Linked DNA regions of Callithrix jacchus. The protein of the gene in region 3 purifies or fractionates together with the protein of the main gene of each other region. This does not show direct contact. Links are inferred from orthologs where the notes say so. Each region holds a gene or a part of one and is shown on either strand. Other genes may lie near its edges. The genes, in order: MAX, ACTL6A, KAT5 and EPC2.

Region 1 (4,596 bases), on a different chromosome or scaffold from region 3:
GGCCTGGGAATGGGAATTTTTTAAAGCCCCTAGGGTGATTTTAACTTGGAGCCGGGATTGTCCTAGAATGCTCTGTACATAGCAGGCACTCAACAACGGTTTCTTGTAATAATCAATTAGCTTTAACTTCTAGTATCCAGTTAATTAACTCACTCAAGAGTGGCCGTCTGTCATCAGCCCTTATCACATAATGGTCTGCTTATGTCTGTCTCCCCAACTCAGCAGGAAAGGAACACGTAGAAAAGGTAAGTTCAAAAGGAATGTATGTCCCAAGAATTGTGTGCGACATATCCCCAAATTTCCACATTCAAAAGTCAGGGATAATATAATTTTCATCCGGGAATCAGTAACTCATGGAAAAGCTCAAAATGTCATTCATTTTGGAGATCAGATGTAAAGGAGTAGTACGGGTACTTTGTCTCAGGGTGGAAAGTGTCTTTTTTTTTTTTTCTTCCCATGGGACTTGTTGCACTCCTAAAATGGCGGCAGGGCAGTCAGGTTTGCTTGCATAGCTGTGAACCACACTAAGGCAGGGATCGTTCTGGTCTTATCCGTTATGGCATCCCCTTGTGGCACATGTTAGGTGTTCAATAAATATTGGTGGAATGGATGTGACTACATTTTACTCCACAGTATGTAAATATGATTTTAACTGGACAGGGAGCTGCACAAGTTTCCCATATTGATCCTTTTTGCAATCTTAATTATGGTACTTGAGCTGGGATATTGCCTAAACTGCCTGGGCTACACAACAAACTCTGAAGGGGTTTTACTTCCAAGTCCACGGTGGTTGAGGGTTCGGGTTCTGTGAATGCTGGAAGCTCACGTGAGTAGCGGAGTGTCGAGGATGGTCACTCTCGGATAAATGAATACAGGATTCTTGCGGCTATGAGCGGTCGCCCGGCGAGGTCGGTCATCCTGCCTGTCCGGTAACTCCACGAAACACCTGCCACTGACACCTCCTCACCAGCTCCCGAGGGTTCGCGCGGGTATCCGGAGCCGTGCCCCCTGGTCCGCCGCAGCCGGATTCCCTCCTGGGCGGGTTACGCCCCAAGACGCAAAGCGAAACCACTCCACATCAAGACTGCAAAGTAAAACCGGTCGCACCAAAGACAGGCAGCGTTATTTAGACAGTCAGCTACTCCCCTAGAGCTTCCACCCAGTCCCCTGGGCCCGGCGCCCAGCGCGCAGACGGTGGCCGGCTCCAGGAGCTCCAGCTCCCTCCACGTGTCCTGTCTTCCCAGCAGCCTCCTCTGCAACCTCGGGAGGAAAACCTCCTGACAACTCGCGGTCTGCGGACTACGACTCCCAGGAGGCACCGCGCCGCGGCTCTCTCCGCCCCGCCCTCTCCCGGATACGCAGGCGCCTTGGGCTCCGTCAACAAGCGGGGCTGGCGTCGCCTGGATTTAGTTTCTTCTGGGATTTGTAGTTTTTCTGGAGCTACCCGGGCCGACCGTCAGAGGGACAAGAACTACAAGTCTCGGCGGCCCCAGCGCTACGAGCCCGATCACGTGGTGAGGGCCGACCGGGCGTGCGTGCCGCCGTTGATCCGGTGCTGCAGTGAGGAGGTGGTTCTCGCCCGTGTTGTGTGTGTGTGTGTGTGAGTGAGAGAGCGAGTGAGTGAGTGAGTGAGTGTGTGTGTGGGGGGGACTCAGCTTGTTGTTGTCGGTGACTTCCCCCTCCCCTCCACCCCTTCCCCTCCCCGCCGCCGCTGCAGTGGCCGCTTCCTGGGCCGTAGGAAATGAGCGATAACGATGACATCGAGGTGGAGAGCGACGTGAGTCCTGGGGCTTCTTCCTTCCAGTGCGGGTTGTCAGGCGGGGACAGCGGCCGGGGCTCTCAGCGGGGCGACGGCGGGAGGGGACCGGGCCGCCGCCGCATCCTTCCCCTTCCCCTTGGGGCCAGGACTGTCTGCGTCGCGTTCCCGGTTCGCTCCGCTCCGGCTCCTGGCTGGAGCGGCCTCCTGGGACTGAGGTGGGGGAAAGACACGCGGCCTCTGGGACCCCTCCCTTCTCCGGCGAGGGAGGGTGCTGCGGCCTCCCCCTCCCATTTTCCCCCGGTCAGGATTCGGGGGACAAAGATGGGGGGCGCCTGGGATCCCATTGTCCGGATCCAGGCGAAGGGGACTGTGCTCAGGAACTGCCCCTTCGGATCGCGATTCTCTCCTCCCATGACCCGCGGATCCTGGGGGGCGAGGAAGGGCGGAGAGGGGTTGAGGGTGCCTAGATGCCCGAGCTGGGTCTGCAGGGAAGAGACAGTGCTCGGGACCCCTCTGGCCCCGGTCGGATCCCGGAAGGAGGGGCGGCGCTCGGGACCCCTCTACCTTGCTACCGGATCCCGCTGAGGGTGGAAGGGTGGGGGCAAGGGGTGGGGAGGGAGGAAGGGGTGTCGGGCTGACTCCCCACCCGCCGCTTCCTCTGCCGCCGGCATTTTCTTTCTTATTACTGAATGTTAAGTGTAAAAATAACTTCTATATTTTCTATTTTTTTTTTCTCTCTTATTCCAGGAAGAGCAACCGAGGTTTCAATCTGCGGTACGTCTCCTACTCTCCATTTCATTTTTATTTCCGTTCAGTTCTATTCTTTTTGGGGTCAGAGAGAAAAAGAGATCGTTCTATTACTTTTAATATGGTAGTAAACCCTAATGTTAACCATTAAGGTGAGGCGGGGCCTGGTTCTGGAGGGCGGGGGTGTTGCAGATCCCATAATTCTAGATGCTCAGGTGATAAGTTCAGTGACTCTAGGTGACTGAGAGGAGCTGTATGCAAAGAATTGAATTGTTCTGTAGTTTTCAGATAGGGGATTCAGCTGCCACTATATAAGTGGAAATGAGAAATGCAGCATTTTGAAGTCGTTGGTAGTATTACTTAAGGGCAAAGTGGTTAGAAGATTTACTTAGGACCAGGTAGGTTTTAAACCATATCTGCATAATTGTGTGAAGCTGAAGCCACATGTAATAATCGCCTTTAACCAAGTCATGTGACTGCTGTAGACCCGTAGAATCTAGCACAACATGGTATTTTAGTGCAAAAATTGGAAATGTAGAAGAGCCAAAGGTTGCATCATGAGAGTGTCACATACGGTTGTTATGGTCTGACTCTGTATTTGAAGAAGAGGTATAAAGAAAACTAAAAAATAGTTGAAGAAAAGTGGCACTGCAGAGACAGCTTTGCTGAAAGGTGATGAAACCATGCAATTTTATCAATAATTTCTTAGGGTTTTGATATTAATGTTCTCAGTAGATGGTTCTGTGGATTTAGATAAGACTAATTTCATGTCTTTGGAGTCTGAGACAGTAATAAGGGTGTTTCATGAATAGATTAGAGGGAAAAAATAATACACATAGAATAAATCAGAATCAGAGAGGGGAAGAGAAGTGTATCAGAGTGTCTAAAATTTGACAGTTGGGAACAGTAAGAAGTGTATAGAATAGGGGTTAAAAAATTCTAATGCTCATGGGGGGCTGTCAAGAGTAAAGAAGAGGGAAGAGGTGAAGACTTGGGGTACTGGAGGGCAATGCCTCCTCTAAAAAGTCAGCCACTACTAAATTCCAGTGGTTTGTTATGTAGGAGTGCAGGATCAGTATTGCCAGATCTTCCTGTTTTTAAGAAAGATGGCCAGGCATGGTGGCTCACACCTGTAATCCCAGCGCTTTGGGAGGCAAAGGTGGGAGGATCACCTGAAGTCAGGAGTCCAAGACCATCCTGGTGAACATGGTGAAACCCCTGTCTCTACTAAAAATACAAAAAATTAGCCAGGCATGGTGGCAGGTGCCTGTAATCTCAGCTACTCTGGATGCTGAGGCAGGAGAGTTGCTTGAACCCAGGAGGCAAAGGTGACAATGAGCCATTACACTCTAGCCTGGGAGACAGAGCAAGACCCCATCTCAAAAAAAAAAAAGAAATCCAAACTTTATATGTTCATTTTTCTGATTTTTAATATGTGTGGAACAACTCTTTGGGGGCTTGTTAGAATTTGCAGGATCTTACTTTGATGCCTCTGGTATAAGAACTTAATAACCACACGATAAAGGCAGGCCATCTCGGTTGTACCTGCTCTTCATTAGAGCAAGCAAAGATTGTACAGTTTGTCTAAGCAGATGGGTATTAAGAAAACTTATTTATTGAGAGCTGATATTTCCATAAGATCCGAGGATGTAGTTGTTCCAGAAGTCTTAAAAATTATCCCTGGATAATAGTCATTAAGAATAATTTGTTTTGTTTTATTTATCTTTGAAGTATTCTCATATACATATATTTGAAAATCGAATTCCTTTTTTTAATTTACTTTTACTCTTCATGTTTGGGGCCTAGTCTTTTTAAAACTTTTTTTTTTTTTTCCCCTGCAAGTCTCCAGTTGTAAAATCTGCCAGGGCTTAATCAGGGTTGGAGGGTAAGGATCGTTTAGGCCTCCTTTGCAGAATTATCCTTTGAATTGAAATTATATTGACTTCCCAGTAAGAGAAAAGGGTTCTTTTTTTGGTGACATTTTGGTTCACAGTTCTTGAAAGCTTCTGCTTTTCAAAATATTTGTCCACATGAGTGTTGATGTAAATTTGTTTATGAAATTATTGCTGTGTTTCGGCTTTCCTGGAATG
Region 2 (3,798 bases), on a different chromosome or scaffold from region 3:
CCCTAGGATTAAAAAAAAAAATCAGTTAGTTCCAAATGTTTCCAAAAGTTTTAAATACAACTACAAATATAACCATGTTCTCTACTACAATTTTCCCTTTCTTTTTTTTTTTTTGAAATGTTTTCCTATTATATACACTTAATAGCTTAATCTATCAATTCTGCCATCCTGGCTGTACATTTAACTCATCTAAGGAGCTTTTACTCCTGGGGCAATTAAATAAAAATTTCTGGGGATGGGATCCAGGCAAGATTACTTTTAGAGACGGGGTCTCGCTATATTGCCTACATTGGAATGCAGTGGCTATTCACAGGCACTATCATAGCGTACCACAGCCTCAAACTCCCGGCTTCCAACAATCCTCCTCCTGTCTCAGGCTCCCAAGCAACTGGGACTACATGCCACTGTGCCTGGCAGGCATGCTTTTTAACTCCCAAGATTAGTTTAATGTGCACAAAGTTTTAAGAACCGCTAACTTAAAGGAATCGTCCTAAAAATGATCATTTTTTTGGCAGATAGCTGCCAATAATAGAAGTGTATTTTATAACAACTTTATCTTAGAATGCTCATCTGGAAAATTTAATACCAACCACCAGCCAAAAATTAAAATTACAAATATTTTGAAAAAGAATGCTTATCTGGAAGTTAGGATATTCAAAATTTATGATTATGATGGACAAAGATGAACTCTGAACATAATCCTGTCCAAAATGATTGCTACCTTTCTCTTTTGCAGAGGTATGCATCAGAAGTACATGGGAGTTTTCTAAAACACAAGTGAGGCTTCCCCAAATAAAAATAAACTACTACTTATACAAAATATATTTACTTTGAATTTGCATGTATGCTTCAGAAGGTTAAAAGTCAACCTGTTTTAGTGGATAAATTCCTATTTTTAAAACATATTCAAAATGTCTAAATCATCTAAATTTTGAAGTAGAAAATGGAATAAAAAAGTACCTCATTAGTTAAAAGGAGAAATTTCACTAAAAATAAAGTTACCACTGTTGCAACAAATATACTTCAATTACCTTTCCCCAAAGGTGGACTTGTATGTGCGCTAAAAAAAAAAATCCCAAACTGACACTCCTATTGGTCCTTGAAACATCACATGCCTGCTAGGTTTCCGGTGAAATAAAGTATGATTTTCACAGCCACTCCAAGTCTTTTCTGAACAACATAGTAGCTGTTAGCACTCTATGCTTTAAGCAAATTAATTTACTCAAAATCCAGGCAGTCTGCGAGCAATAAGCTTAATCGAATCGGGTTTAAATAAGATGACGTCAGTCCTCACTTAATGTCATCAATATGTCCTTGGAAACTGACTTTCAGGAAAACGACGTAACAAAACCAATTTTTTTCCTGAAACAATGTCCTTCAAGAACCTACTGTACATCATTTCACTTAAAGTTGCAGTCTCCAAGGTCCTATCACTGATAATGAGTGAAGTATATAACATGGGGCTAGTATTTAAAACCTGACAAAGCACAAAAAAATATGAAGATCATCTAATATGAACTTCATGTAAAAGTTACTCATATAATTTAAAACACACCTTCCTGAAAAAGAAATGCAGAAGTTGTGCTATCTTTAAGAAAATCACCAGGGGCCGGGCGCGGTGGCTCAAGCCTGTAATGCCAGCACTTTGGGAGGCTGAGGCAGGTGGATTACGAGGTCAAGAGATTGAGACCATCCTGGTCAACATGGTGAAACCCCGTCTCTACTAAAAATACAAAAACTTAGCTGGGCATGGTGGTGCGTGCCTGTAATCCCAGCTACTCAGGAGGCTGAGGCAGGAGAACTGCCTGAACCCAGAAGGCGGAGGTTGTGGTGAGCCGAGATCATGCCATTGCACTCCAGCATGGGTAGCAAGAGTGAAACTCCGTCTCAAGAAAAAAAAAGAAAATCACCAATAATACATATTTTGGTTGGCCACATTTCAGGAAATCTCCAGCGTGGCACCTTCTATAAGAACTTTCTGTGATGATACAAATGTTCTGTATCTGCCCTGCCTGATGAAGCAGCCACCAGCCACATGTATAATGAGGCTACTATAACTGAAGAGCTGAATTTTAAGTTTTTATTTAATTTAAATTGCTACATGTGGCAGGTAGCTACCAGTCCGGACTCCATAGCTCTAGAGTTTTGACTTTTCCTTTTTCAGTACTTCCTCTTTTTATATCTACTGTTATAAAACAAACTTCAAAGTCAATGACACTGACAACCTAACAATGACTTGGAGACACGTCAGTACCCTAAAAGATCTGGCACTTACTGGTCTGATATCAATATCACACATCCCAACACTTGTGGTGACAACGTGACTGACTCCTAACATTGTGTTTCCTGATAACCCCTACAACAAAAGAAAACAAAGAGTCACATGGAAGAACTTCAAACAGTTAAAGCACATCCAAAACGTTTTAGTCTTATTTTATAATCACAAACACTCCTTACACATATAGAAAAAGCCAGGCTCATTATGAAATAAGCTTTTATACCTTTACATTGGAAGGGTCAAATAATCCTTCCGGAATTTTTAGCCGCTCTGCACCAAAATCACAATTGTAGCCATTGGGGAATTCATAATGAACAGTTGGCATCTGTGCAGCCACTCTGAAAACGTATTAAACAGTATCACACAAAAGACAAAATTAATTCTCTTCGAAATGATAAACTACTAGGGAATTATCAACTTTTAAAATAATGGGAGTGAGAATATTTTAAGCATTATTCAATTAAGTACGTTCCATGATATTTTTTAAACAAATCCTTTCCTTATTTATAAAGTAACAATTTAAATAAGAAAACATACTGTTCATCATAAGTTGAATCCGACACTTGAAGTACTGAAGCTTGAAAATCCTGGATAACACACTATGAGTAAAAGAAAAAAGTTTAAAAAACAAGGTTGAGATTTATCTTTTTAATCTACACTTTTATAACATATTTTAAATACTTTTCGGAATAAAACTGGACCCTGTTTCTGTATGGGTAAATAATTTCAAGAGTATAAATCTACCTCACAAGGATTCTGAGTATCAAGAAACCCAACGCTAAACATTTGCATTAGAGGCTAAATTACACACATTTAAGTTACGACAGTTATGAAACAATCATAAGAGGTAAACAACAGGGAACCCCTGCACCACAGTCCTGCATAACAAAACCAACTTCAGAAGACCAGTTTCTCCTTAAAAATAAGCTAGATTAGAAGCAACATATATACATCACATTTTATGCAACTTTTAATGACTGTACAGTGTATAAAACAGTTTAATAAAATGCTATGAACTAATATGACCTCTAGAAAAATCTTGTTTAGTATCTAGAAAAAAATGACTAATCATCCTAATTTTTCCTCATATTAAAAAAATCTTCATTTTTAGGTACAAAAACTGTCAGATAGAGTGGGGTGCAGTGGCTCATGCCTGAAATCTCAGCACTTTGGGAGGCTAAGGTAGGAGGATCAGTTGAGGCCAGGAGTTCAAGACCAGCCTGGGCAACACAGGGGTGGCTCACACCTGTAATCCCAGCACTTTGGGAGGCCAAGGCAGGCAGATCATGAGGTCAGGAGAGCAAGACCATCTTGGCTAACCGGTGAAACCCCATCTCTACTAAATAGTCCTAGCTACTCAGGAGGCTGAGGCAGGAGAATCACTTGAACCCAGGAGGCGGAGGTTGCTGTGTGCCAAGATTGCACTACTGCACTCCAGCCTGGGCAAGAGTGAGACTCTGTCTCAAAAAAAATAAAATTAAAATAATATAAAAGAAATAAAAAATAAAAAAATTAGCCAG
Region 3 (4,275 bases):
ACAGCCCCACTGCCTCTCAGGCACTAACCTTGTTCTTGCGTCCATCAATCTCAAAGAAGGAGATGGTGCCTTTGCGGTAAATCTCGTTGCCTGGAGGATGTCGGAGGTCACACTTGGTCTGGGGAAGAGAGGAGGATCAGGGACGAGGGCAAGGTGGACAGTGCTGGGAAGGCAGCCTCCCTGTACCCCTCATACCAAGTGACGCTGAAGACACTTGAGGCTACGGCCGTACTTGAGGCAGAACTCGCACAGGTAGAGGACAGGCAATGTAGTGAGCTCCTGTGGGTACGGGGAGAAGTACCACGGCTTGAGGCGGTGCCGGCCCAGCTCGATACACTCAATGTTCTTCATCCGGGTGACGATGTCGTCGTGGCTCCGGTCAGACACCAGGCTGCCAGTCATGCGTGGTGCCGATGGTATTCCATCTGAGCTGTCCTGGGAGTCCTGCCCAGGGCGAGTAGAAGACACCAGGTTAGACGAGACAGCTCAGCAGGACACCACAGCTCACACCCCCTCAACAGGTTTCCTTCAAGCCTAACAGCAACCCTATAGGGAAGGTACCATGACCCCCAATTTCCAGACGTAAAACCTGAAACCCTAAGGGACTGATGATGTGGAAAACATCACCCAATGATCATTTTGGAGATGGAGTCTCACTCTGTCGCCCAGGATGAGGTGCAGTGGTGCAATCTTGGCTTGCTGCAACCTTCACCTCCGGGCTTCAAGAGATTCTCTGGCCTCAGCCTCCGGAGTAGCTGGGATTACGGGTGCCTGCCACTATGTCTGGCTAATTTTTTTTTTTTTTTGAGACAAAGGCTCACTTTTTTCCCAGGCTGGAGTACCAGTGGTGTAATCTCAGCTCACTGCAACCTCCACCTCCGGGGTTCAAACGTTTCTCCTGCCTCGGCCTCCCAAGTAGCTGGGATTACAGGCGTGCGCCACCAGGCCCAGCTGATTTTTTACTTTTAGTAGAGATGGGGTTTCACCATGTTTCACTACCATGTTGGACAGGGTGGTCTCAATCTCTTGACCTCATGACCCACCCACCTTGGCCTCTCAAAGAGCTGGGATTACAGGTGTCAGCCACTGTGCCCAACCAATTTTTTTATTTTTAGTAGAGATGAGGTTTTGCCATGTTGGCCAGGCTGGTCTCAAACTCCTGACCTCAGGTGATCCACCCACCTTGGCCTCCCAAAGTGCTGGGATTACAGGTGTGCACCATGGTGCCCAGCCCCAATGATTCATTTGAACCATGTTCTGCCTGGCTCCTAATCCTACCAACACTAGCCCTGCCCAGGTCCACCACCCCTTCATTTTTATACTCATCACTAAATAACTCTCCACCCTGCCTGCATCCCTTCCTTTTCACGCAGCTCCCTTCTGCTGCTCCCCAGACCCACCTCATCAGTGCCCAGACAATTTGATTTTCGCTTCCGTCCTGGCTGGGCTGCCACTGCCCTACGTGCTGCTCCATTCTGCAGATGAGATACCAGGAAAAGAAGGGATGACTGTGAGATGAGCTTGAAAAGGGCCACCAGAGGGCAGAAGAGAGGAAAGGAACAAGAAATGGTTTGGGGAACTCACCTGGGGAAAAACCGAAGCTGGGGCTGTCTCACTGGGCACTGGAGTTGCTGGTGAAACCACCTCCACCTTCCGTTTCTGCAGAGAGAAACCAACAAAGGTGGGTCAGAGGGTAGAGAAGGTGGGACCTGAGAAGAAAGCAAGGTCCCTGGAATTGCTGAGGGTACCGTTGAGCGGTGGTTGGGCTGCAGGCAGGAGCTGGAGGAGAGCGGCTGGTCAGGCTCGCCACCGGGAATGGCCTCCCGCTCCTTGGGCAGGTTGAAGCGGAGTGTGATCTGGACCGGGATTGGCAAGGTCTTCCCGCTGGCCTGGGCCGAGGCCGGCTGTAGAGATAGGTCCAGGGTCTTCCTCTGGGGCGGGGATGGCAGTGGGATGGGGAAGGGGAAGAGGGGCCCCTCAGCTTAAAATTATCAAACCCCACCCTCTGCCTTCTGAAGGACACAGGACTAACTACTGGACTCTGGGAGCTACATGTGCAATTTGGCCCCCATCTTTTGCAAGCTGAAGTCAGGGTAAGAGGATGCCGCCTCCTGCCCATCCAGGAGCCCCTAAATGCCAACAGATAAGAGAAATAGGAGGCAGGAGAGATGAGGTGAAGTGGGGGACCTACTCACCACCTCTCTCTCTGGAGAGCCGGGACGGGACCCAGGAAGTCCGTTCTTGGTGGGGGTCTTGGCCTCTTTCTTGGGGAACTGGATCTTCTTTAGGTCCAGCCGCTCGTGCGTCACCCATTCATCCAGACGTTTGTTGACTGTAGCAGTGGGGATGGCTCAGGAAGGAATGCCAAAGACTGCCCCCCAACCCCCTACCCTGCTGCCCCACCTTAGGCCCAGAACTCACAATCAATGTAATGGACGTAGAAAAGCTTCCGGCCACTGATGTCCTTCACACTCAGGATCTCGGCCAGTGCTATGGGAACAGCATAGGCAGGGACCTTAGACGGGCCAGGCCATGAGACTCCACCCTTCCACGACCTGAACTCCACCCCCAGGCCGGATCCCTAAGCTGCAGCACTTGGAAGGTCTCATCCAAGCCTCCTTCAGTCACAAGTGCCACCCCTTTCCAGACCCCGCCCTGTACCTCTCATAGCAGCTAAGAGCCACGCCCCTTCATCGGAGTGTCTGAGCCCCGCCCGCCCCATAATTCCAGAGGCCCCTCCCCATCCCGGGGGTTCAGTGGACTCCCTCCCGCCCCTCGCCCTCAGGTTCCTTAGCCCCGCCCCCCGACGTCACTCACGCCACTCATCTTCGTTGTCCTGGTTCCGCCGCAGCACGGGTAGGCGGCAGCCCTCGATTATCTCCCCCTGGGGAGACAGCGCGGCGCCAGGGTCGGCTACTGGGGGGCCTCGGGCTCTACCCACCTCCCCTGGCTCCCTCCGCCCCGCCCCAGGCACCGGACTCACCACCTCCGCCATCTTCCCTCCCTCCACTGCCACTTCCGGCCCCTCTGGGAGACGTCACTTCCGGAACTGAGTGCTGTAGGCTTGGGCCTCACGAAGCCCCTATAGAGGACCTTTGAGAGACACCGCCACCCAGCTGCCAGCGGCAAGACTGCCCCTGTGGCTTGGGGGAGAATGTGGTGTTACAAGCCTCAGACCGAGCCCTAAGTGGAAACCCCACAACGTGCACAGCGATTGGAGAACTACTGAGCCCGTCACCTGACGCCCACCGCGTGCGACGCTGGTCACGTGGATGCGGAGCGGGTCACGTGGCAATATTGTTTGGGCTTTGACAGAGGGCGGTGCTGGGGCGTCTCCTCGTGGCGGCGGGAGGTATCGCCGGGAGTGAACTGCTAGTGCTGAGCTACGGGCCGAGAGGCTGGAGGAAGGGAGTGGCTTTAGAGGGGCTTCAACGCTCTTCCAAGTCTGTGGACTTCATTCCATAGGCAGGAGGATTCAGGGAATATTCCTAGCTTTATTTTGTATACTACGCTTTTTTTTTTTTTGAGACGGAGTCTCGCTCTGCAGCAGTGGCGCGATGTCGGCTCACTGCAACCTCTGCCCCCTGGGTTCAAGCGATTTTCCTGCCTCAGCCTCCCCTGTAGTTGGGACAAAAGGCGCGGACCACCATGCCCAACTAATTTTTGTATTTTTAGTAGAGACGGGGTTTCTCCATGTTGGCCAAGATGCTCTCAATCCTTTGACCTCGTGATCTGCCCGCCTTAGCCTCCCAAAATTCTGGGATTACTTGAGGTCAGGAGTTCAAGACCAGCCTGGCCAACATGGTAAAACCCCATCTCTACTAAAAATGTAAAAGTTAGCTGGATATGGTGGTGTCCTCCAGTTATCCCAGCTACTCAGGAGGCTGAGGCAAGAGAATGTCTTGAACCCAGGAGGCAGAGGTTGCAGTGAGCCAAGATCCTGCCATTGCACTCCAGTCTGGGTGACAGAGTGAGACCCTTTCTCAAAAAAAAGAAAAAGATGCTGCCCAGGCTGGTCTCAAACTTCTGAGCTCAAGCAGGCTACCCACCTCAGCCTCCCAAAGTTCTAGGGCCCCGGCCCCGGCCGTTGTTTTGTATATTAGGTTTATAATTATAAAGATAGTATGTGTGATACTCATCATACATTCAAAAAATATTTAGGGACCCAAAACATGTGTCAGACACTATTCTAGAGCCTGGAATACATCAGTGAACAAAATGAAGACTTCAGGTCTGGTGCAGTGGCTCACGCCTGTGATCCCAACACTTTGGGGC
Region 4 (3,798 bases), on a different chromosome or scaffold from region 3:
ACAAAGATGTGATAAGCCAACTACCCTAAAGAAAAAGAATAAAGACTTTCAGAAAGCTGTCACATTATTAGAAAGCACTGTGCCCAGACCATGTCATATCAGGCCAAATATCCCTATGTAATTGAGTGGACCTCTAGGGCAGTCGCACTGACCCATTAGAGGGCACTTTATTATAAATGTCATAAAAACAAATTAAATAATATACAGATATACCAATGGCAGGGAAATAATATGTTTTAGATAAATTTCCACTCATAACGGTTAAAATTTTTAAAAAAGTTTTGGTATTTAAATTTCAGTTGTCTTGCACTTTTGCTTTGTAGTACATCTCTTTCTGACAAACGCTGGCTCAACCACATTTACTCGCAAATTCCTGAACCTCACAAATCCCTCTCTTCCTATTTTGAGAGGAAAAATGTTTTCTCCATATTATTTCCAAACTGTGGTAATTACCACTGAGCAGGGTCATCCAGGGGAGAAAGGTATTTGTTTGAGGTTCCAATATACCTCCACCAACCCTAGGGGGAGACACAGAAACAGTGAGCTGGGGCTGACTCTTCTTCATGGGGAATGAAGCCCAAACCTGAAATTTGAAAGGAAATCCCAAATGTGAATTTTCCACTTTGGTTCCTTTGCAAATCATGTCCCTAATTCTAAGATATACACGGAAGTGTCACAAAGTCTCAGAAATTCTGTGTATAAAATCTATCACCTTTTTCTCCTACCATTCCCTAGGGATAGATTCCAGAGGACAAACGAAGGCTGAGTCATAGGAAGACAAAGCTAATGTTAGGAAAATCAGAAGCATGATCAAGAGGCAGGGTTTTAGTTCTATGCAGCTGCAATTTGACAGCATAAGTCTGGTTAAAATGTGTGTTCTCTTAAGGCCCTATTCCCTTGTTCATGTTTATTAGACAGAGAAAAAGTATGATTATTTTAATGATCTTGTCAGCAATAAAATTCTGATTTTATAAGAGTTACACTCTGAATAGGGGCCTCACTGAATGAAGCCCAAATATAGGTAAATATTTACTCTTTAGCAATATGCAAATACCATAAAATTAATGAGGGTTGTCTAAGATCTAATATAAAGACTCAAAGAACCTAAATGTTTCAAAGGGCAATTTTCATGTGGGGATGGGAACTGGGAACTATATAAATCAATGTAAGAATTTGGAGGAGAAATGAAAATCCTTTAATGAACGAGAAACATATGACTAGTTATGCCGCTCTACTTTCAGGCTGGAGGTACTAATTCCACCAATAAGAGAAAAGTTTCTATAGGTCACAGCACCCTACAGTATCTTTTTTTTTTTTTTTTTTTTTTTTAAGGCAGGGTCTTGCTCTGCTGCCCAGGCTGGAGTATGGTGCTGTAACCTTGGTTCACTGCAACCTTTGTCTCACTGGCTCAAGCAATCTTCCTGCCTCAGCCTCCCGAGTAGCGGGAACTAGAGGCATGCATCACCACACCTGGCTAAATTTTTGTACTTCTGTTTCTTTTTGTAGAGATGGGGTTTCACCATGTTGCCCAGGCTTGGTCTCCAACTCCTGGGCGCAAGCAATCCACCTGCTTTGGCTTCCCAAAGTGCTGGGATTACAGGCGTGAGTCACAATGTCTGGCCGACAGCATCATTCTTAAAGGGATGGGAATATGTAGCAAAACTTTCTAGCCTCTCATTAGTACCACCAATATAAGCCTATTCTACATATATTTATCTATGTCATTTTCTTAGTTAACATTATAATTTCCCAGTATATATAATGTAGATAGAGGCTATCTGCCATCTGGCTATTACTGCAGGCATCAAGCCTTTCATCCCCTTTTCCTCCTATATTTTGTGCTCCAGCAATGCTAAACTGCTAGCAGTTCCCTCTAATATGCTGTGCCTAGAACCCTAACCTATACTTGCTATCTGGAAAATTACTATTTTCTAGGGCACTATATCCCTCATTCCTTCAAAATGGTCATATGGTCATCTGGTGAATGTCCCATGGCTAGTCAAAGCTCTGCCTGAGTCAAACTAGTTGATCCTCTGACAAAAGTAATGTATGGGTTCATTAAGTTTTCCTCAAGAACTTAATATAAAATTAAATGTATCTTTGCACATTTAATACTATGCATATGACTATCAGAATATTATCTGAATAAAAAAACTAAATCGGGAAAAAAAGAGTAAAAATAATAGAATGTAGCCCAAAGGGACACATTTTATGCAAACTCCAGATCTGAAATGGTATTGCAATGAAGAATTGGCTTTCCAAACATATCTGTAATGTTGGTTTTTTCAAAGAAAGTTTCCTTAAAGCAAACAAGTCAAAAGTTAAAATATGATAAAGTTGGTGGTAGGTTCAAGTCTTTGTTACAGTATTTTCTGTAAGTTTCCTACACTATATTTTTAAAAAGAGGGTATCACTAAAACAGATGATAAATAATATTTTTTGGAAAAAATTTATCTTTTAATATATAAAGTAAAAGTCTTATTTTAAAACAAGGAATAAAAATAAAGATTTTCTTTAATTGCACACATTTTTCTACAAAACTTTTAATATTTATCGAAGAGTTAAAACTGGAATCAGTTCCCTTAAATCTTTTAGAATCAAATAGCCATTACCTAACAAATTAGCAAAATTTACGTTAAAAGTTATAAAACACAATGCTGGTGGAATATGGTAAAAAGGAAAGCATTACTGATATTTTCAATATTTACAATTATATATTAACTGCCTTAAAATATTGATAATTTTCAGTTAGTAACTAGTAATTCCATTTCCAAAAATCTATTCTAAATACAGAGGGACAAGATCTACATTCATTTTTATAAAAGGAAAAACTGAAAACCATGTGATCAGGAGAGAGTAAATTCTATACAACTGATGAAAAATAATACAGAGTAAATACCATTTCAGTGGCTACATAAATAATGTGGAAATGTTTATGCTATATATATTAGGGGAACAAAGCAAGAATAAAAACACTAAGATGGCAATTGTTTTAAAAATATAGCAATATAAAAGACTAGGAGCAAATGTCTTTAAAATAGTTTTAAAACAAGCACCTGTGGAAATTCATCTTCATCTGAGCTGTGAAAGTCATATTGCTTAATGTCACTCTTATTGATCACAGGCAATGTCTCAGGAGTGGGTTGCTGAGATGTTATCAAAGCCTCTGCTTTAGGCTTCTTTGGGTACTTCTTCTTTTGACGAACCACATCAGAAGCCTCTTCTTTCAAAGACAAATGATGAGGGTGCTGTTTACATGACGATTTTTCCCCCAAAAGGAAGAAATAAAAATAATTTTAGAAATTACGAAAAACTATACTGCCCTTTGAAAAACATATATTTTTACCCAGGAGGTGATTTAATGTTTTTTAATAAGCAAAAATTATTCTGTGTTCATAAACTGAAACATGTTTTACTTTCTGCAACTTATGATGAAAAATAATTATGTATTTAAATTTGCTTTTAATACTATTACTTCTTAAAAGTAAGATGTGAGTGATTTTTTGGATTGCTCTATTATGTAATCCAGTATTTAAAAGGTATTTAAATTCAATTCTTATTTAAATCTACTATATTGACAAAATTAACAACTATTTTTATTTTTAAAAATCTTCAATTGGACCATGACTTTATTAAGTTATTTTTACACTTAGTTCCAATTTTTTAAAACGTCTGTTCTATGGATGGCAACCTTTTGAGAAAAACAAGCTTAACTAGGAAAAAAGCCCTCACTTTTTAGAATGTATAATTACTGCAGCAACTGAACAATAACTGTTCTGAAGTTCCCCAGGCTTCTGT

What was found.
Region 1: the proteins of KAT5 (region 3) and MAX purify together in Homo sapiens (affinity purification with mass spectrometry; 3 studies listed by BioGRID and IntAct, with this or other methods). This does not show direct contact. The link is inferred for Callithrix jacchus from reciprocal best matches to the Homo sapiens genes KAT5 and MAX.
Region 2: the proteins of KAT5 (region 3) and ACTL6A purify together in Homo sapiens (affinity purification with mass spectrometry; 6 studies listed by BioGRID and IntAct, with this or other methods). This does not show direct contact. The link is inferred for Callithrix jacchus from reciprocal best matches to the Homo sapiens genes KAT5 and ACTL6A.
Region 4: the proteins of KAT5 (region 3) and EPC2 purify together in Homo sapiens (affinity purification with mass spectrometry; 3 studies listed by BioGRID and IntAct, counting the BioPlex papers as one, with this or other methods). This does not show direct contact. The link is inferred for Callithrix jacchus from reciprocal best matches to the Homo sapiens genes KAT5 and EPC2.

The regions. Positions count from the first base shown.
Region 1 is NC_133509.1:99,770,402-99,774,997, reverse strand, and holds the start of MAX (protein max), read left to right. Parts: upstream 1-1,559; 5' UTR 1,560-1,741; coding exon 1,742-1,777; exon of another isoform or gene 1,778-1,974; intron 1,975-2,506; coding exon 2,507-2,533; intron 2,534-4,596. UniProt on the Homo sapiens protein: Transcription regulator. Forms a sequence-specific DNA-binding protein complex with MYC or MAD which recognizes the core sequence 5'-CAC[GA]TG-3'. The MYC:MAX complex is a transcriptional activator, whereas the MAD:MAX complex is a repressor.
Region 2 is NC_133516.1:7,809,656-7,813,453, reverse strand, and holds part of ACTL6A (actin-like protein 6A), read right to left. Parts: intron 2,878-3,798; coding exon 2,816-2,877; intron 2,617-2,815; coding exon 2,502-2,616; intron 2,357-2,501; coding exon 2,276-2,356; intron 3-2,275; coding exon 1-2.
Region 3 is NC_133511.1:122,803,632-122,807,906, reverse strand, and holds the start of KAT5 (histone acetyltransferase KAT5), read right to left. Parts: upstream 3,015-4,275; 5' UTR 2,996-3,014; coding exon 2,818-2,995; intron 2,491-2,817; coding exon 2,422-2,490; intron 2,333-2,421; coding exon 2,196-2,332; intron 1,932-2,195; coding exon 1,749-1,931; intron 1,660-1,748; coding exon 1,585-1,659; intron 1,476-1,584; coding exon 1,401-1,475; intron 445-1,400; coding exon 196-444; intron 119-195; coding exon 29-118; intron 1-28. UniProt on the Homo sapiens protein: Catalytic subunit of the NuA4 histone acetyltransferase complex, a multiprotein complex involved in transcriptional activation of select genes principally by acetylation of nucleosomal histones H2A and H4.
Region 4 is NC_133507.1:81,635,175-81,638,972, forward strand, and holds part of EPC2 (enhancer of polycomb homolog 2), read right to left. Parts: intron 3,249-3,798; coding exon 3,057-3,248; intron 1-3,056. UniProt on the Homo sapiens protein: May play a role in transcription or DNA repair.